5 linked regions of the Ovis aries genome follow. The protein of the gene in region 1 purifies or fractionates together with the protein of each later gene. This does not show direct contact. Links are inferred from orthologs where the notes say so. Each region holds a gene or a part of one and is shown in the gene's direction. Other genes may lie near its edges.

Region 1 (3,942 bases):
CCCAGGAGCAATCAGTGTGTTCTCTCTAAAGAGCCAAAGTGCCCATGACCCTCTGCAGAAACCCCACATCCGTGCCTGCAGGCTCTGGGGGGCTCCTTGAGCACCTAAAGCCCCCTGCCCCACCTTATCTTCCATACCCACAGCCAGTCTTCAGCAAAGACCAGCCACAGAGGTCTCCAGGGTGTCCTGCTCCCTCTCTGGAGGTTCCCCTGCCCATCCCATTTTGGGGGACCAGATTCTTCAAAACCTGGTCCCTTGGCTACCACCCCAAGGTCACAGGCTTTGGAGGGCTGTGTGACCTGGACCACTAGAGCCATGGGCTCCTTTGCTTCCCATTTGAGGGTTCCCTGAGGGCAGGGCCAGGGTGGACAACTCCCTGTGCATCCCACATGGACACTTGCACTTGTTGGAGCCAGAGAGCAAGGCAAAGATGGACCCAGGGAGCCACAGGGACGACATGCTGCACTGGGGTCCCACGCGGGCAGCCCCCAGGCCTGTACCTCTGGTGGGAAGACCTCACACCCTCGATCGGCCCCTGGCCAGGGCCCCTCAGGGATGCCGCATGGAGGGACGAGAGGACACTGGACTGCCACGTTTTGGGGCTCCAGGACCCGAGTGGCCAGGGAGTGAGGTACCCTCGAGAATGGCTGGGGTCGCCTCTGGGCAGGCTTGCACAAGCCAGAAGCCAGAGCATATTTGCAGCTGTGGCCGCTGCCTGAGGGCATATGAGAGGGGGCACCATGCCCACAGGGCCCTTAGCAGGCTCTGGAGCCCTGGGACTCCAGTTTGAGGACCAGGTCACCACCACGTGGCCACTCTGCAGCGCCCTCTGTCAGTCCTGGAGTGCAGGAGCTTAGCCCAGGGTCCAGGTCACCACTTCCCAGTGTGGTGGTCCTAGGGTGCCAGGGAACTCCCCGGGGAGGCAGTGGCACACCATGTCCCCACAGCAGCGCCCTTGCCCAGCCCTGGGATGGGGGCGGGGGGCTCATCCTGGGGGGTCGGGCCCTCAAGGGCTGCTGTCACCGCGCCGCCCCCTCCCCGCTGCATACCTTGCCCACAGCCGAGCAGCTGGGAGGCTATTTATAAAGGCGGGTGAGATCAGCAGCCGAGGCTATAAATGTGCGGGCTGTGACCGGGCCCCAGAGGAGCGGCCGCCCGGGGTGCCGGAACTACGGGCAACACGGCCAGAATGAGCGCCAGTGCAAGTGGCGGCTGCGGCGGCAACGACAGTGACAGCAGCAGCAGGTAAGGCCAGGTCGGGCTGCCCAGGGCCCCTGGCAGCCCGTGCGCTCACTGCCTGCCTGCCCCACCCGCAGCTCGCAGGCCTCCTGCGGGCCCGAGTCCTCTGGCTCCGAACTGGCCCCCACCGCCCCCACGCCACAGATGCTGCAGGGGCTGCTAGGCTCCGACGAAGAGGAGCAGGAAGACCCCAAGGACTACTGCAAGGGTGAGGCCCCGGGGAGGAAGAGGAGGGGGCCCGGAGCCCGCCCACGTGGGCTAGGGGTCCCAGCAGGACGGCGCCGTGCCGGGGCAGGGGCAAGGCGCCACCCTCAGCGGCTTCTGTGGGCTCCCTTCCCCAGGCGGCTACTACCCTGTGAAAATCGGGGACCTGTTCAATGGGCGGTACCACGTGGTGCGAAAGCTGGGCTGGGGCCACTTCTCCACCGTCTGGCTCTGCTGGGACATCCAGTGAGTGTCCCCCCACCCCCGCCCCGGGGCTCCATGCCAGCTGGGATCCTGCCCCTGGGCATGCCTGCAGCTATGGCGAGGGCCCCGTGGGTCTGCCTGGTGCCAGCGGCCAACACGGGTCTTGGTGTTGCAGGCGCAAGCGTTTCGTGGCTCTCAAAGTGGTGAAGAGCGCGGGGCATTACACGGAGACAGCTGTAGATGAGATCAAGCTCCTGAAATGTGTGAGGCGCCTCCCCTACCCGTTCCCAGTTCCCTGGGAGCCGCCTGGGGCCTGGCAATGTGGGTGTGAGGCCCGCCCGCCCGGCTCCGAAGGCTGGGGCGGGGCGCCCACAGGGGCAGGCTCCAGCTGGCAAGGCCGAGGGGGAGGACCCAGAGGGCGGGCCTGAGGCTTTTCTTCCAGTGAGGCCCAAGCACAGCGGGACAGGGGGTGCCGGAGGGGCTGCCCACCCTGGGGGAGCAGCCCGTAAGGGGCAGGTTGAAGCCATCTGTGGCCCCTTGGCTTTTACTGCAGGTCCGAGACAGTGACCCCAGTGACCCCAAAAGAGAAACCATTGTCCAGCTCATCGATGACTTCAGGATCTCAGGGGTTAACGGAGTCCGTATCCTTTGCAGGCTGAGCAAACAAGTGTGGCATATCAGCAGGGGCTAGCTGGCTGGTGCCTTCCAGCTCCAGGGGCCTCAGTTTGCTGATCTGTGTGACGGGCGGTTTATCCCTTCCAATGACACTAGTCTATGAAATACCCCCACCACTTCAGGGATTTGTGTCTGGGCATGGGAGGTGGAGCAGATAACCAGGTTGGCATTGGCAATCCATGGCTAGGTTACCCCCAAGTGGGAGGCACCGTCTCTGCGTGCCTTCCCTTTCGGGGGGGGGGGAGGGCTGTCAATAGGCTCTTGGGCAGACATGGGCACAGGACTGGGGCTGTTCTGAGAAACCTGTCTACTCCTCCAGTGCCCTGTCCCTAGGAAGACCACAGAAAGTATGGTGCCAACTGGCACACCAGAGAGTGACAGGGACACTAGGGCGCCACTGGGATGGTGGTGATACAGGACCTCCCAGACCTAGCTCTATGCTGCCTGAGCCTTGGGGCTCCCCCACCCCAGCTGAGGGTGGGCAGGACCTAGGCCCCGGTTGCACGCCCAGCAGTTGCCCTTCACTCCTGGCCCCAGATGTGTGCATGGTGTTGGAGGTCCTCGGCCACCAGCTGCTCAAGTGGATCATCAAGTCCAACTACCAGGGCCTGCCCGTGCCCTGTGTGAAGAGCATCGTGAGGCAGGTGAGCTCTTCCTGAGTTCGGCAGGAAGAGCCCTGTGGCAGGCAGCCAGGGCAGGGCGGGTGGACTTCAGGACTGGCTCTTTCCAGGTGCTGCACGGCCTGGATTACCTCCACACCAAGTGCAAGATCATCCACACAGACATCAAGCCCGAGAACATCCTGCTGTGTGTGGGGGATGCCTACATCCGGCGCCTGGCTGCTGAGGCCACAGAGTGGCAACAGTCAGGGGCACCACCCCCATCCCGCTCCACAGGTACCCAGATCCTGTGTGGGGCCGGGGCAGGGCCCGTGGGTCTCAGCCCCAGCCTGAGTCTTGGTTCCTTTCTCTTCCTCCCGGCTCTGCCTGCTCCACCGCAGTCAGTACCGCCCCCCAGGAGGTCTTGGTAAGTTGGGCCGCCTCTTTTCCTAAGCCTCATTTTCCCATCTGCTCAGAGCTCACTTCTCAGCCTCTCTGGTTCCCCTTTCTCCCTAACTCTCCCTGCTGCCCAACACTCCTGCAGGGGCATGTCCAAAAGGCCAAGTGGCCTGGATGAGGGTGATACAGAGGGGCCACAAGCCCCAAACGGCCCTGGGTGGCCACTGGGGCTCACCACCACCTCCCCGGAAGGACAATATGTTTACAGCTGGCCCCAAGGGAGGCTGGCGCCCAGCCAGAGGCTTCTTGGTTCCTCCTCGGCCTCCAGCTCTGGAGAGTGGAGGGCAGGAGGGGACCCAGGAGGTGGGCGAGGTTGCAGGACCACATCCTGATGGTCATGGAGTCCTGGGACCTGCAGACCTTGTCCCCTGCGGGAGCCCTGTGGACAAACTTGGGCTGCTCCGCGGCTGGCTGCCAGGCACCCCCGGGCTGACCCTGGCTCTCTTGGTAGACAGGGAAGCTGTCAAAAAACAAGAGGAAAAAGATGCGGCGCAAGCGGAAACAGCAGAAGCGGCTGCTGGAGGAGCGGCTGCGAGACCTGCAGAAGCTGGAGGCCATGGAG
Region 2 (2,990 bases), on another chromosome or scaffold:
TAACCAACCCATAGTATATCAGTAACAAGTAAAAGAGCAGAGAGTGTGGGCCGTTGTCACAGTGATCGGAGATAACTTCACTGCCCCGGGGATGTGAGCAGAGGCTTGAATGAACATATCGGAAAAGAGTATCCAAGCAAGGGGAACAGGAAGTCCAGAGGCAAGCTTGTGCTCCCCTGTTTGAGAAACAGTCCAGAGGCTTCATCAGTGGGCACTGGGGGGCACCATAGGAGGAGAGTGGTCAGAGGGGTCACCGGGCCAGGTCGCGTGGGTCCTTGTAGGGACCCAAGTGCACAACGGAGCCATGGGGAGTATTGAGCAAAAGAGTAATTCAATCTGACCTCTGGGAGGACCGGTGTGGCCTGTAGAGGACAGACTGTTCCGAGGGCTGGGGCGAGAGCAGGGAGACCAGTAAGGAAGCTGCTGTGGTAGAATTAAAGCACCTTCAGAAGCTGCACCAGGCCTGTGGATAAGGGCCAGAAGGGCAGTGGAATGGGTGTTTGGAATCTTTGAGGAAGCAGCTCTGGCGGTTGGTGAGTGAGCTCTAAGATCAGAAGGTGGGGGGTAGGGTGGGGAGGCCAGCACCTACTACAGCTGTGGGGGGATGGGGTGGGGGGGTTTGAGGGAGGCAGCCAAGGCTGGGAAGGCCCACCTCCCGTATCCAGGCCCAATGCCCCCTTCTGCCCAGTCTTCCCTGAGTGAGCCAGCTCCCATCTCTAAAGGATGGATTCACTGGGCACCTACTATGTGCAAAGCACTGGGCTAAGTGCTTCTCGGGCTGAGAGCCACTAACCCTCCCATCACCCTTTGCAATGGGAATGGCCCTCGTCTCCAGGTAACACAGACTCAGAGAGGCTGCCTAGCCGACTGTCACACAGGTAGTAAGTGGTGGATCCACACCTGGCTTCCTTCAATCTTCAGGTAAACGCAGTGCTCTGAGACTGCACTGCCTCGGTGTCTTATCCATCAGTCACCTGTGGCTGTTTAAATTTAAATAGCTTACAATTCAAGTTCAAAATTCAGTTTCCTGGTCATCAGCCACCTTTCAAATGCTCAGCAGCCCGTGTGACTCGCCGCTCCCTGATTGGCCAGTGTAGATAAAGGGCGTCTCCACCGCTGCCCCAGGGGGGATGCAGCACAAGTCCTGCCTGAGGCTCCGTGTGTCCAGCTCCCCTCTGTCTTGTCCCTTTCGGGGCCTCGTGCCCCAGTCTGAGATGCCCGGATGTAAGGGCAGGGAGGGAGTCCATGCAGCAGGCCCTTGGGGAGGGCGACAGGGAGCAGTCGGGGGTGGGCTGGGGTGGGGCAGGCAGAACTGGGGAGGGGGGAAGCAGGCTGAGGATGGACAGGCCTGGGGTCAGGGTCCAGGCTGTATGTGCCAGACTCCTAGGGAGCAGGCGGGGGGAGAGACGAACTGGAAGAGCAGTACTGAGCCTTCCCCGGGGGTGGGAGTGGGGCCTCTGCGCGGTGCCCACTGCAGCCTTCAGAGCCCTGCTTACTGTGACCGTGTGGGCTGTGATACAGTGGATGTGGATAAACAGGAGCTCTGGAAAGTCAAGAAATTATTGAGGGAGGTGGAAAGGCCACTACGAAAAGATCTGTTGAGAAGGAAAGAAGGCCCGTGGGACACCCGCACCCAAGGTTTCAAATCGTTCAGGAAAAAAGGAAAGGGAGGGGCGTGGTTGCAGAAACCCCCAGGCCCGCATCACCAGGCAAGGCAGCCCTCAGCATTTGCCTGGGCTTGTTCCTCATTCCTTCTTGCTCCTCAAAGTGTTTTTCCTTTTTCCTGGAAGATTTCACAGTGTATCCTACATAGGTCATCCAACCCCTAGATCCTGGTGGTGTTCTTACAGAGGTGATCTCGCTCCTCCTGTGACCTTGTCACTGTCACTCTAGAATATCCAGACTTCCCTGATGTTGCCTAGCTGCCACTCCGTGTTCACATTGCCCCTGCTGGGAAGAGAGACTCTGAATCACTGCAGGGGACCGTGACCATTCACATGTTCTGAGATGAAACGGGCACCCCAGTAGGGAGTGAACCCTGCTCCAGAGGCGTCCACACCCAGGCCCCCTGCACTTGGGCAGAGCAGTAGAGCTTGGTAGCAGAGGCCGTTTGGCCTGGACCTTTGATCACAGACTGCTCCTCAGGAGCAGGATGACCCAGAGCAATTATTTACCCTCTCTGAGCCTTGGTCAGCACCTCTGCGAAGTGGAGAGAATGAGAGTACCCGCCTTAGGCACATAACCAGGGCTTCAGAAGTGGCCTTGGGTGTGATTGGGAGCCCTTTCCTGCCCCAGGCCTGGACAGTCAACTGCCTGGGCAGCTGGCAGGTGGGGAGGTGATTCTGACTGCGTTCTGGGGAAGAAGGCCCAGAGCCGAGAGGAGGGAGGAAAGCAGGCATCGCAGTGGCTCCTTGAACACCCGCTCCCCCCATCCAGGTTTTCCCAGATGGTTCAGGACAAGCCCCTGCGCACATCCTGGCAGCGGAAGATGAAGGACCGGCAGGAGAGGAAGCTGGCCAAGGACTTCGCCCGGCACCTGGAGGAGGAGAAGGAGCGGCGCCGGCAGGTGAGGGGTGGGCCAGGCGGGGGGCTGAGCGGGTGTTGGCCGTAACAGGGGCAATTGGGGAGAGGAGCTGTCCTCTAACCCAGAGACCTTGGGAAGACAGGGAGCTGGGCCAGAAGCAGAAGCGCAGTCCAGGACCCCAGGGTAGGGAAGCCCAGTGGAACATCACATTTAGCCAGGAGGCTTATGTGAGCCCCAGGGATGGGAGGAGGCTGAGGATGAAGACCCCTGGTTCCTCACTGGTGATCAGAGCATTCAGTGAGATGGGCTCAGGGGTCCGTGCCCTGGACCTGCTCTGATGGGAAGAGCTGACGAATCGGGGGCTTTATCCTGAGTGTTGTTGCCAGTGTCCTCTGAGACACAGCTCCCATACAGCAGAGAGGGCTGCCTGCAGAATCCTCCAGTCCTCCCTGACACTCAACCCAAG
Region 3 (4,074 bases), on another chromosome or scaffold:
CAGAGAAATCAGGGAATAATGACAAATTCCAGGATGGAGTGAGAGTGGGCACATGGGAGATAAATGAAGTCAGGGAGAAACACTGGGACTGGTAATGTACTATTTGCTCTCCTTTTGGTAGATTTTCAAAGCTTCATTTTACTATAGTTCTTTAAATACTACACATATGTAGTATACAGTCTTTTGTATGCATGTCACAATAAAAGAGGTTGAGCGCAGAAAACAGTGGAAAAGAGTGGCGAAGGTATGGAAATCATGTATATCATTAGCAGGACCAATGTGAACAAACCCAAATGTTACAGTATACAAATGGTTATTTCTGACCTGGGGTAAAATCTCTAGTGTTTTCATCATAAATGGATTCAAAAGGTCTGTAATGAAAGTGGTATACTCTAGAAAACTGTTAGAGAAGTCAAAAAGCAGCCCTGGTGATGGCAAGGAGAGTGATAATGAAGATGCATGAAACTCTTCAAAAGAATTTTTTTCCATTAGATCACAGTGAAAAAAAAGTACCTTTAAATTAACAGGATTTTACATGTGACTTTATGGATGATTCATTAATCTATACATTAAAATAAGGCAAGTAGACATGTATTTCTTCTACATCTATAAAACTATATGTATATTCAAATTGTCCAAAAAAAGTTTTCTTTCAATCATCCTATTGGGATTATGGTGTTATATTTGGTTCACACGGTTACCTAGGTGTCAGATTGGAAACACAGTTTTACCTGGAATGAATTTTTGCCATTTCTGATCCACATTGTACTTCACACAGTGATTTCCTGAAGGAAATATAATGATCTGTTCATCGAAGAAGAAGACATTGTTGGACACGTGGGATCGAAGACCAAAAACATGCAGCGACTGAGCTACCACAGTGGACATGGTCGGGTAGTTCCGCTAAAGATGCAACGCAGCTAGTGAGCACGGACACGCGCGAAACCGCGCCCACCCGGCCGCACCCGCCCCGCGACAAGCCCGTGGCTCCGCCTCCGAACTGCTCCTCCGCCCCCTCCCCTTAGCAATCTCCGCGGGTGCCCCAGACCCGGCTCCTGCGTCTGCTCGTTCCTCTCGCCCTCGCGGCTTCCTGCTCCTCTGGACAACCCCCAGGGATCTCTCCCACCTGTAAGCTTCTGCTCTCTGGATAACCAGACCACGCGTGTGTCCCGTGTACTACCCCTACGAATCCGAAGCAACCCGGCACTCACCGACGCCGGAGCGGTTCCTATAGCAACGGCAAGCCGGAAGTATGTCAGCACCCGGAAGCGGAAGTCTTTTGCTCAGAGAGCTCAGGAGCAGCTGTTTGCTCCCGTGCGGTTCGAGTCCACGTGGGTCCGCTGCAGGAGGGCAGGGGGCTGCAAAGCGGCAGCGGCGAGGGGCGCCCTTTTCCAGGCGCGGGGGGCTCGGGCTACTCCGCGTCCTCCGGTAGGTGTGGACTCGCGCGCGGTGAGATGGACACCCCCCCGCTCTCAGGTTCGGACTCCGATTCTGATGACTCTCTTGTCACAGACAGAGAGGTAGGTATCATCCGAGCTCGCGCGGCTGCGCGAGGAAGAGGGTTCCTCACTCTCCCATTCTCACCGGAGAACGTGCCCTCTAGTTGCAGGAGGCGTTTTCCCGAGGGCTTCTGAAGCCAGGCCTCAACGTGGTGCTAGAGGGGCCGAAGAAGGCCGTGAACGACGTGGTGAGTTCGGGCGCCCGGTCGGAGGATGCTAGACTTGGGATGCGCGCGAGGTACTGTTGTGCTCCAGAGACTGCGTTCTAGTTCTAGGAAAGACACACCCTGCGCATTGCCAAGAGTGTCAACTACCTGTCGGGGTCTTGGAGGTTGGCACTTCATTTGTTGGCCTGTTACCTTTTTGTGAGCTTGGTGTCTGAATTTCCTAGAATGGCCTGAAGCAGTGTTTGGCTGAATTCAAGCGGGATCTGGAATGGGTTGAAAGGCTTGATGTGACTCTGGGTCCGGTACCAGAAATCGGTGGATCTCAGTCAACATCTCAGAACCAGGATCCGAAAGCTGTTGATCCAGAAGATGACTTTAAGCGTGAGATGAGCTTGTATGTATGCTTTCAAGTGTGGGAAAGGTTGTGGGTCCCTGCGCTAGAGAGTGGGGAGAGGGTGGAAGCCGTGAGCATGTGTTCCTTCGAGGTGTCCTAAGCCTGGGAGTAGGGAGGAAAGCTTCTTTGGACTAAGGAGTAGGAGATGCTCCGTGGTTGAGAGAAAGGCCCCATGGTCCAGCAGTCACAATTTAAAGTCCAGTTTATTTTCAAATACTAAGTTTTAAATTTTTTTGTGCAGTTGATTATGAGAACAAAACGTTGCTTATGTGGGATCCTTATATAGACTTTTTTTTTAGTGACTAAATAAGAATGTGTAATTGGCATTTGTAAGTTAGTGAGCACTTCTAAAGTGGTCATTCTGTTAAACTACTAATTCATTTTAAGCAATACTCCCCACCCCTTTTAAAAGAGTGTACATCTAAATTTCTCCTGAGTTAATGAGGTTTTATTACCATTTTTGTTTGTGTGTGTGTTCTTGCTGGTGGAGGTCAGGTGTTGCGGGCTCTTCCGACCTTGGATGCCTTATGAGAGGCAGTCAGAAGGATGTAAGACCTCTCTGCCTTAGCTTATTTCACACTTTGTCCTACATCTGCAGCTACCGTCAAGCCCAGGCAGCGGTGCTTGCAGTATTGCCCCGCCTCCATCAGCTCAAAGTGCCTACCAAGCGGCCTACGGATTATTTTGCAGAGATGGCCAAGTCTGATCAGCAGATGCAGAAGGTAAGAAATGGAAGAGGTTTTCTCTGGAAGACTGAAGCTTTGTACTTAAGTCTATACAGCTGGCTTGTCTCCCTTAATGTTCAAACAAACAAAGGCATAACCACATTGATAGGGAGCCAGTTGTCAGAGGAAAATTATTATCTCAGTTACCTATGTCAGATTCATGCTAATCAACACCAGTTGGACAAATGTAAGGTTGACTTTTTCCTAATAAAGACAGTTAAGGGAGGAAGATAATGTAAGAAGTGTGGTCCCTAAGATGATCTTTATGCATCTCCTAGCTGGCATGGTCATGGCATGGTGTTTGGAAGAGACAACAGTTCTTTCCTGCCGTTGCCGGGGCAGCATTATAACTTGTAGACAGTTACCTTTCTCTGAGCCTTAGTTTTTCTTTGCTCTAGAATGAAGGATTAATATATGGCTTAGATTTGGCATAATTTACAGTTAGGTAAGTTAAGTTAAGGCTAGTTAAGGCTATGGTTTTTCCAGTAGTCATGGATGGATGTGAGAGTTGGATTACAAAGAAAGCGGAGTGCTGAAGAATTGATGCTTTTGAACTGTGGTGTTGGAGAAGACTCTTGAGAGTCCCTCGGACTGCAGGAAGATCCAACCAGTCCGTCCTAAAGGAAATCAGTCCTGAATATTCATTGGAAGGACTGATGCTGAAGCTGAAACTCCAATCCTTTGGTCACCTGATGTGAAGAGCTGACTCATTGGAAAAGACCCTGATGCTGGGAAAGATGAGGGCAGGAGGAGAAGGGGACGACAGAGGATGAGATGGTTGGATGGCATCACCGACTCAGTGGATATGAGTTTGAGTAAACTCTGGGAGTTGGCAATGGACAGGGAGGCCTGGCGTGCTGCAGTTCATGGGGTTGCAAAGAGTTGGACACAACTGAGTGATTGAACTGAACTGAACTGAACAGTTAGGTAGAATTTGGTCCTTATTCAACTTTGAGAGGCAGAGAATTACCAATGTCTAATCCAAGATATATCTGAATAGTTCCCTTGGGTCTCAAACTGGATTTTCTTGTCTCAGTGGTACTCAAAGAAGCTAATCTAGAGACGAACCCAGACCCATTTCTGCACATTCAAATTCATAACTGTTCATTCTTTAACTGAAATGTATATGTTTAATGCAAACGGCTAGGTACCTGATATCTGAGTTTTTATAGTACAGATGATATACTGGAGAAGGAGGCTAAAGCTGCATACTGGTTTCACCACAGTCTGCAGACGGTATGGATGGAGAGAAGTTAGTCTTTTCTCCTGATTCAGAGGCAAGCAAGCTG
Region 4 (4,015 bases), on another chromosome or scaffold:
ACCCATGGCACGTGGGAATAAGATGAAAATTCCTGCAGCCAAACCGGTTCACACAGTTTCATCTCACGCCTGAGAGTAAATCCGCCAAGCCAAACCGTAAAGCAACTTTACTGAGAGGCGGAGGAAACTCACCCGGCGATACTGGGTGACCTCGGGGTCCCCACGTAGACCTTCGCCTAGCGCTCTGGATCTGAATGTACTCCACGCGCGCCGGAAGTTGGGCGCGCGGAATCCGGCGCGCTCGGCCCTCCCACCCCGCCCTCGAGGGTTCGCCTCCCTATTGGCTGGCGGGGCCCGTGGTCCCCACCCCGAGGTAATCAAGAACGACGCCCTCCCGCTCTCGGGCACGGCCTGAACCTCCCCTCCGGAGCTAATCTCTTAAACCCTACTCGTTTACAGTGTTTAATTCTGTGGTACCAGGTGCCACGTAAAATCTACTCTCCCCTCCAGAACCTCCTGAGCTCTGACGGTGGGGAGCGCCAAAATGCTAAACCCATGTTCAGCTACTTGTGTGTTGCTTAGGAATCAGAACTGACCGGCTACTGTGCAAAAGTCTCGTGATGCGCCTGGCTCCTGACGAGATTAGAATGCACCAGGGTTTGAGCTCAGCTGGCTCGTGACCTCTGACCCAATGCTAAAATGGGGGGAAAAAAAGCTGATTATAGGATGCCACGGGAGAGAGATGGGGGGATGAAAACGTTATTCTTCGTACGGTGGGCAGGCGCTGATAATGTGCTTTCCCGAATGGATCTCCCCTGCCGAAACGCGGAGACATGTTGGAGCACCCTGTTGCCCTCCCCGCTCCCTTTCCTCACGGAATTTAATCTCGGGTAGTTAGTGGCTAAAATAAGCCTCTTAAACGGCCCCCCCTCCCCCAAACGCTATTGAAGACTGACAACTGAAGCCGACACAGCCACCTCGAGAGAGAGACTTCTCCTGTAATGGCGCCTGCGTCAGTCACTAACATGGCGGACACAGTCGTGCGCGGCGCAAACGTCAGCAGCTCTACCCCAAACGCTCAGAAACAGCGGAGGAGAGCGGGGCCGTGCTCGCTGATAGGTTCGGAGGCGGAGCGTACCGGTCTGGCTCTCCCACAGGAGCCAATCAGGACGGCGAGAGACGGAATTGGCCGCTGCGCCTCCTCCCGAGGCATGCTGGGAGCCTGGAGGACTGGTGAGGAGGAGTTGAGAGAACGGAGCGGACGCCATGGCGACCAACATCGAGCAGATTTTTAGGTCTTTCGTGGTCAGTAAATTCCGGGAAATTCAACAGGAGCTTTCAAGGTAAGCTCTCCTCAGACTCTTCTGCTCCCAAAGGACCGCTGGGACCCCACGGGGCCTTCCATGGAATCTTTCTTCGGAGACGCTGTCGTTGCTCGTCTCAGGCCCGGCTACAGCCCCGCCTGGGCCTGGGATCCATTTTCCGGCCCCCCCACCCCCATCCGCTCCCTCCCTTCCCGGCGAGGAACTTCGCCCTTTCCGAGATAATCCCAGGCTGTCTCTTCTAGAACCGAGTTAAGATGCTCAGCCTTCTGTCCTGTTTGGGTATCCCCTACCGTCTAGCTACTGTAGGCCTGCTTGTCCACCGGGGATGGGCCTAGTTCCTTCCTCAGCTCTGCCGCCGCGCTTCCCCTCCCCCTCTCCGCCTCCGCGGATTTCGCCGGCCGGTGTCTTTGACCGGAAAGGGGTCTAACGGCCGTTTCTTGAGTAATCTTAAATACGCTTTATTACTGCAAGCTTCGGACCACTTGGGGGTCGGGATCCTTTGAGAAGATTATTTGGGTCCTAATGTCCTGTGGCTTCCACCAGGTAGCATTTTAAATAGTCTGGTAGATTAGAAATTTAAATTAAAACAGTTAAAGTTAACGTTAGTTATTTTGACAGAATATTCGAGGCGAGGATGGAAGGAGACTTTGAATTACTAGTAATTACTAAATTTAGCAAGCGAAAAGTGGAGTTCGTGTATTGGTCTAAATATTCTTGCTCCCTCTGCCCCGATTGACCTATTTGACCAACACGCTGTTTTTGTCATCGCTACTAGTTTACCCTTGGTTCCACACAATTTGAATGGGAAGAGACTTTCAAAGAAATAGTTGCTTACTCGGAAAGGAAAATCGCGTGGGTCATGTTATTTAGTGGTTGTCTTTTTGTATTTTTATTTTGCATAACGTAAACATTTGTTCCGAGTTGAAATGCATTGTTAGTTGTGTTTTAAAAAGTTGAGAGCTAGAATCAAACGTGAGGTGAATTTGAAAAATAGCCGGAAACTCAGTTGTAAACTGAATGCTCCAATTAACATACGGTTATGGGGTAATGATATAGATTTGCTGGAATTCTTTGCGTATACATTGTTTTTCAAGTGGGAAATATATCTGTTCATTGATTTAGTTGCTTTTTGAAATTTTGTAATATGCTAGTTATTTTTAGGATAGTGAGAAACGACCTGAGCTAAGGGAATAGAATTTTCCTGGAAACTTTTTAATAGTTGCATGCAATCAGTAGTTGTGTTTGATAATTGTAATGTCTTATTTCTATACCTTTTAAAAATTAGGTTTTGTATTAGAAGTTTTATTGTTGTATTAGGTTTAGAAAAAATAGAGAAACGAATTTTAAAACGCATGGTTATTGATCTTTATCTTCTTTCACTTTTTTTCCTTTGCATACAGATGCACGTGTTTTGTGAAATGTGGTCATCTTGTTTTGCGTGTTTTTTTTTTTTTAACCTGTATATTGTGAACTTTTATCATGGTTTGGAACATTTTTCCAGGCTCCATAGAATTCTGTTTATTGTAGGATTGTATTGATATTTAGGTGCCTTGACATTTCCACCCTTTTTCAGTAGTTGAATGAACATCTGGAGAGCTTTAAGATGATTACTTTCTTATAGATTGCCTGTTTTTTTTTTTTTTTTATTCCTACTTTTCGGATTTTTAAATCCGTGGATTTTTTAGTAAGGTCAGCACAGTGTAAGTGCTTAGGAAAAATGTAAAGAAAGTCCAGGAAGAAACTCTAAAAAGAAAATTAGATGAAGCAGTGTATTACTGGAGGAATATTCAGCTTCTTTTCAAGTAACGTTATACATTATCAGTGTCAAGATTATTTGCTGTTTTAGTGAGCTGTAGTTCTTTTGTGTGTTTGTCATTTATTTTTTAATGTATATTGGTTTGAGTGAGGAGACTGATAACTTTAATAGCTTAAAGTTTTTATTTATAGATGGTTAGGAGTAAGAGCTCTGGTTTTGAATGCCAGCTTTACTGCTTAATAAATGTGTAATCTTCAGCTAGGTTTGTTTTGTTTTCTTTGGGCCTCATTTTCCTCATTGAAAAATCAGAACAATAGTGCTGATTTCAGAGTTTGTGGGGATAAATGAGTTTAGAAATGTAGAACCATGTGACCTTAATTAATAGTTAATAAATGTTAAATAATATTTATTGTATGATTCATTGTATTAGAAAACCAAATATTCTTTAATAACATGAAAAGCTACTGAATATTTTTGGTTAAAGCTTAAATTACAGTAAGTCACACATACTGTTGTGAAAGCATTTTTCGAAACAATTTTGTAAATTTGTACAAAATAGTACAAGTGACAAATGATAAAAATAAATGATATATAAAAATGTATCTTCTGTCAAGATTCTTCTGTTCCTGTAAATTGAAAATGTTAAGTGATTCATTCATTGACTGTTACTATAAATGAATTGGTTTACATGGTTTTTGGTAACTGGGTGAAAACTGTATGTGTATTTTTTCAATATTGTGGCATTTCAGTAACTGAAGAGTTTCAACCTGATCTGAAGCTACCAGTTATACTTTTGACTAAATGTCTGTGGCTGAATTTTTGTTCCTTCATATTGCTGATGGTGATTGTGATCCATCTATAGGTGTAGCTTTATTGTCACTATAGCATATACCATAATGTTAGGGTAATGTGTTTTTCTTTGGTTTGGTGATTGTGATCTTAGTAATTTTCCCCTGAAATATTCTGGTTGGGGAGTATTTAAATTTTTTTTTAA
Region 5 (4,088 bases), on another chromosome or scaffold:
AAGGAACGACTTTTGGCTGGGGGGTACTTTTATGTTAAAATTTGACTCTTGAAGATGTGTAAGAAATTGTGAATATTAATTATCTTCAAAAAGATGGGGTTTCAGGGGAACATGAGACAGTTAATTTCATATATTTTATACTATTAACTTGTCATCAATACTAATTTTTCCACTGCATGGCAGTGGAATTACATGGATTTGTAGAGATCTGCTCATCCCCCTTCTAGTTCCCTCTGGACCTCTGAAGTCCGTTCTCACCTGGAGTTCTTCAATCTTGGACAGATAATATTGGCGGAGTCCACTGCCTGTCTTCCCCTCTTCCAGCTCCATCTGAGGACACAGTGTAATTATTAACCAAAAGGCTAAACATCCAAAGGATAAAACTATTTCCACGTTGACTTCGGAGATTCAAGATTTGTGTTCTCGTCCCTCACTCCATCTCTTCACAACCATTTCCTTAAGACTAAAACAGAATGAGAATGCCGCCTGCCTCTTAAGACTTTCAGGAGGATCAAGAAACAGCGCATCAGGGAACGCTACACAATCCCGAGATGTTATTTGTACAGGAGCAGCCAGCACGGGGCTCCCGAATCCCGCCAAGAGTGGGTTCCCGCTCCCGCGGTTCTCACCGCTCCCGCTGTTCTCACCGCTCCTCACTCAATCGGCTTCCACCCGGTCTTCCACTCCCGGCCCTGCCGTGACCCGCCGCGGGCGGCGCTGACACAGCAGATCCGGTCCCAGGCAGGGCCCAGTCTAGACTGGCCCACCCACCCCGGACGCCCCCGACCCGCTGGCCCCGGCCGGCTGCCCACCTCGGATCGCACCTGCTTCTCATCCAGCCCCGGTCCCCGCCCGGCCGCCGCCGCCATACCTGCTCTGGTCCGTCAAGCGCCATCTTCCCTCTTCCGCGGAGACCGCCGGCATCAGAGCCGCTTTGGCGCGCAGGCGCAAAGCCGGCGCTTGCGGGGTGGGGGGGTACCAAAGACTCGGGCAGAGAACAGTTCCGGGTCAGTGGGCGGGGTGTGAGGACGGACGGTAACAAATAACAAGGGACATGAGGGGAGGGACGGAGTTACCCTAGGTCAGGATCTTTGGTGTAAAAGGCACAGAACTCCTAAAGTTACTCTCTAGAAATTCGGTTTTGGCGGCATGCCAGCTTCCAACTTATAAAACCTGGGGAAGGATTACAGGGAAAATATTTGTGGCCACGCTCTAAATGGCGGAAAACTTGGAGCCGGGACGCGAGCGACGCAAGCGGAAACGGAAGTACGTTTGCTGCCCACATGTGCCTCTCCAAGGTGGAGAAAACGGTGCTGGTTGCAGGTGAGTGGTGTCGAGTAAGACTCCGAGTGTCTCCGCGACAGCGAGTGGGAAACGGAAGGCGGAATCTAGTGCTCCGGGAAGAGACGTTCCAACTTCTGCTTTCTCTCCCGCTTGAGTGGTGCCCCCACGTTACACCATGGGCAAAAAGAGCAAAGTCGGGAAGAGCCGGCGGGACAAGTTCTATCACTTGGCGAAGGAGACCGGTGAGTCAGGGTTCGTGCTGTCAGAGCAGGCGAGCCACCGACCTCGGTCGGTTCGCCCCGCTTTCCGAATATTGAGTTTCTTTTCCGCAGAAGGGGTAGTGGGTCGGGAGGCCGTAGAAATCGCGCTGGGAAAGCGCTTCGCGGACCTTGTTACAGAATTTTGTCGCCGCCTCCAGGTTACCGCTCCCGCTCTGCTTTCAAGCTGATCCAGCTGAATCGCCGCTTTCAATTTCTGCAAAAAGCCCGAGCATTGCTGGACCTGTGCGCTGCACCGGGTGGATGGTGGGTAACACCTGGCACCTGACGCTCCTTATGGAAACTTTCTGGGTTCCAGCCTTGGATGACTGAGAATTGACGTTGAGGGGCGGGAGGGATACAGTAATACCAGCCTCAAATTTCTGTACTCCCCAGAACTGTAAGCTTCAGGAGGGAAGATTTAGAACGTGTACATACGTTTGGCTGGTACTGGCCAGGGTTCTTCAGCTCCATTCAGTTGCTCAGTTGTGTCCGACTCTTTGACTTCTGCACACCTGGCCCCCCTGTCCATCACCGACTCATGGAGCTTGCTCAGACTCATGTCCATCGAGTTGGTGATGCCATCCAACTATCTCATCTTCTGTCGTCCCCTTCTCCTGCCTTCATTCTTTCCCAGACCAGGGTTCTTTGCCTTCCCCAATCAATAGAAATTGATTAGGGGCCAGACAGGAAATTCAGGCAAAGCTTTACTGGGGCCCCTGCTGCAGCAGGAGGGCGTGAGAACAAGTAACACGTTCCCTTGGTTGCTAGCTCCTGGAGGGGTGTGAGCTGATTCTTTATACGGGGTGAGGGTTGCTGTGTGTCTAGGAGCCCAGCCTTAGGAGTGGCTTCAGTGGTTTGCTCATCCCGTTGATGATGGTGAGTGTTGGGGCAAGTGCAGGACCCTGCTTTTGCTCCTAGCACTTCATAGGTGGCAGTGGATTTGTTTGTTTTTTGGTCTTTTGTATCTTGTCCAAAATTTACCCCAGCTGGCCATGCATACAGTTATTTTTAGTCACTTGTGGTTTGTTTGTATTTTATTATTTGAGGAGTTGTTTGTTCAGCCGCAAACACTGCAGCAAAAGGTCCCAGGTCCCAGAGACTCCCAGCACTGAGGGTGAGAGATCAGATTGTCAAGGGAGAGGGAGAGGTGGTCGAGGGTATTTTAATCTTTACTTTTTTTTACAGGCTGCAAGTAGCTGCCAAGTTTATGCCTGTATCCAGCCTTATTGTGGGTGAGTGACCGGTGGCTCTCTTAGGTGTTCCGGGGGGGTGGGAGAGTGAGACACTGTGGTTCTGCATTTCCTTCCTCCCTGCTCGAGGCAGCCTTTTGGAATCCTCTGCCCTCTTTTCTTCCAGGAGTGGATCTGGTCCCAATCAAGCCTCTTCCCAATGTGGTGACCCTCCAGGAGGACATCACAACAGAACGCTGTAGGCAGGTAATAGGAACCTTCTTTTTCCCATCCTTTTTATAAGTAGACATCTGCATCCATCCCTCTTCCCACCCTGAGCCCCTGAAAACACGTTTTTCATGTTTACCATGCCCTAAGCAGTGCCCACACATTATCTCTGTGACAAGGCCCAAAAGACAGTGTGTCCATCCAGCCTTTGTTTATTCAGGAAAGAGGTGTTTGGAATTAGAGGAAGTGCAGAGATTTCCATGAAATCCTTTCCAGCAGGTTCTCTATAAACTAAGCTCCATGAGGACAGATAGGTTTGCTTATCGCTGTATTCCCTGTCCACGGCACAGGAATTGGCCTGTGGCAGGCACTCAACAAATGATTGGGTGGACAGATGGCTGAACCAGTGATTCAGTTCATAGCCATGTCTGTATTTCAGTTGCAGTAATCTCTTCCTTCTCTGCAGGCCCTGAGGAAGGAGCTGAAAACTTGGAAGGTTGATGTTGTGCTCAATGATGGGGCCCCCAATGTCGGGGCTAGCTGGGCCCATGATGCTTACTCACAAGGTGCCGGGGTCAGAGGATGTGGAGATAAGGGTGGAGGCGGGCATGCCCTCTCAGGCTGCAGAGGTCCTCAGCTTACCGTCTCTGTCCCACAGCCCATTTGACGCTGATGGCTCTGCGTTTGGCTTGTGACTTTCTGGGCCGTGGTGGCTGCTTCATCACAAAGGTTTTCCGTTCCCGTGACTATCAGCCCTTACTGTGGATCTTCCAGCAGCTCTTCCGCCGCGTCCAGGCCACCAAGCCCCAAGCCTCTCGTCATGAATCTGCGGAGATCTTTGTAGTCTGCCAGGGTGGGTGTAACTTCATTTGTTCTCTTGATTCAGTCTCCTACCTACCAAAGCACACTTGCTCGTGAATCCTATTATCTTAGGTTTCCTGGCTCCTGACAAGGTTGACAGTAAATTCTTTGACCCCAAGTTTGCCTTCAAGGAAGTCGAAGTTCAGGCCAAGACCGTTACAGAATTGGTGACCAAGAAGAAGCCAAAGGTGTGTTAGGGGAGTGGGCCCACTCTCAGGTCCTGGAACCTGGGGGAGGCTGGGCCTGGTGGGTCCTACAGACAGCCCGGAAGGGACTGACTGCTCAA

Evidence for each region.
Region 2: the proteins of SRPK3 (region 1) and CCDC86 purify together in Homo sapiens (affinity purification with mass spectrometry; 3 studies listed by BioGRID and IntAct, with this or other methods). This does not show direct contact. The link is inferred for Ovis aries from reciprocal best matches to the Homo sapiens genes SRPK3 and CCDC86.
Region 3: the proteins of SRPK3 (region 1) and EBNA1BP2 purify together in Homo sapiens (affinity purification with mass spectrometry; 3 studies listed by BioGRID and IntAct, with this or other methods). This does not show direct contact. The link is inferred for Ovis aries from reciprocal best matches to the Homo sapiens genes SRPK3 and EBNA1BP2.
Region 4: the proteins of SRPK3 (region 1) and SON purify together in Homo sapiens (affinity purification with mass spectrometry; 3 studies listed by BioGRID and IntAct, with this or other methods). This does not show direct contact. The link is inferred for Ovis aries from reciprocal best matches to the Homo sapiens genes SRPK3 and SON.
Region 5: the proteins of SRPK3 (region 1) and FTSJ3 purify together in Homo sapiens (affinity purification with mass spectrometry; 3 studies listed by BioGRID and IntAct, with this or other methods). This does not show direct contact. The link is inferred for Ovis aries from reciprocal best matches to the Homo sapiens genes SRPK3 and FTSJ3.

The regions. Positions count from the first base shown.
Region 1 is NC_056080.1:80,500,655-80,504,596, reverse strand, and holds the start of SRPK3 (SRSF protein kinase 3), read left to right. Parts: upstream 1-1,141; 5' UTR 1,142-1,189; coding exon 1,190-1,245; intron 1,246-1,316; coding exon 1,317-1,447; intron 1,448-1,580; coding exon 1,581-1,689; intron 1,690-1,822; coding exon 1,823-1,910; intron 1,911-2,200; coding exon 2,201-2,288; intron 2,289-2,859; coding exon 2,860-2,966; intron 2,967-3,052; coding exon 3,053-3,218; intron 3,219-3,322; coding exon 3,323-3,348; intron 3,349-3,831; coding exon 3,832-3,942. UniProt on the Homo sapiens protein: Serine/arginine-rich protein-specific kinase which specifically phosphorylates its substrates at serine residues located in regions rich in arginine/serine dipeptides, known as RS domains.
Region 2 is NC_056074.1:34,552,382-34,555,371, forward strand, and holds part of CCDC86 (coiled-coil domain-containing protein 86), read left to right. Parts: intron 1-2,436; coding exon 2,437-2,566; intron 2,567-2,990.
Region 3 is NC_056054.1:17,855,421-17,859,494, reverse strand, and holds the start of EBNA1BP2 (probable rRNA-processing protein EBP2), read left to right. Parts: upstream 1-1,273; 5' UTR 1,274-1,454; coding exon 1,455-1,520; intron 1,521-1,603; coding exon 1,604-1,687; intron 1,688-1,890; coding exon 1,891-2,060; intron 2,061-2,658; coding exon 2,659-2,782; intron 2,783-4,074. Other genes in the region: CFAP57 (cilia- and flagella-associated protein 57), read right to left, coding at 732-888. UniProt on the Homo sapiens protein: Required for the processing of the 27S pre-rRNA.
Region 4 is NC_056054.1:122,631,119-122,635,133, reverse strand, and holds the start of SON (protein SON), read left to right. Parts: upstream 1-1,206; coding exon 1,207-1,283; exon of another isoform or gene 1,284-1,424; intron 1,425-4,015. Other genes in the region: GART (trifunctional purine biosynthetic protein adenosine-3), read right to left, coding at 1,079-1,220. UniProt on the Homo sapiens protein: RNA-binding protein that acts as a mRNA splicing cofactor by promoting efficient splicing of transcripts that possess weak splice sites.
Region 5 is NC_056064.1:47,800,467-47,804,554, reverse strand, and holds the start of FTSJ3 (pre-rRNA 2'-O-ribose RNA methyltransferase FTSJ3), read left to right. Parts: upstream 1-1,281; 5' UTR 1,282-1,459; coding exon 1,460-1,526; intron 1,527-1,702; coding exon 1,703-1,808; intron 1,809-2,729; coding exon 2,730-2,776; intron 2,777-2,900; coding exon 2,901-2,980; intron 2,981-3,407; coding exon 3,408-3,507; intron 3,508-3,599; coding exon 3,600-3,794; intron 3,795-3,874; coding exon 3,875-3,990; intron 3,991-4,088. Other genes in the region: PSMC5 (26S proteasome regulatory subunit 8), read right to left, coding at 259-330, 872-895.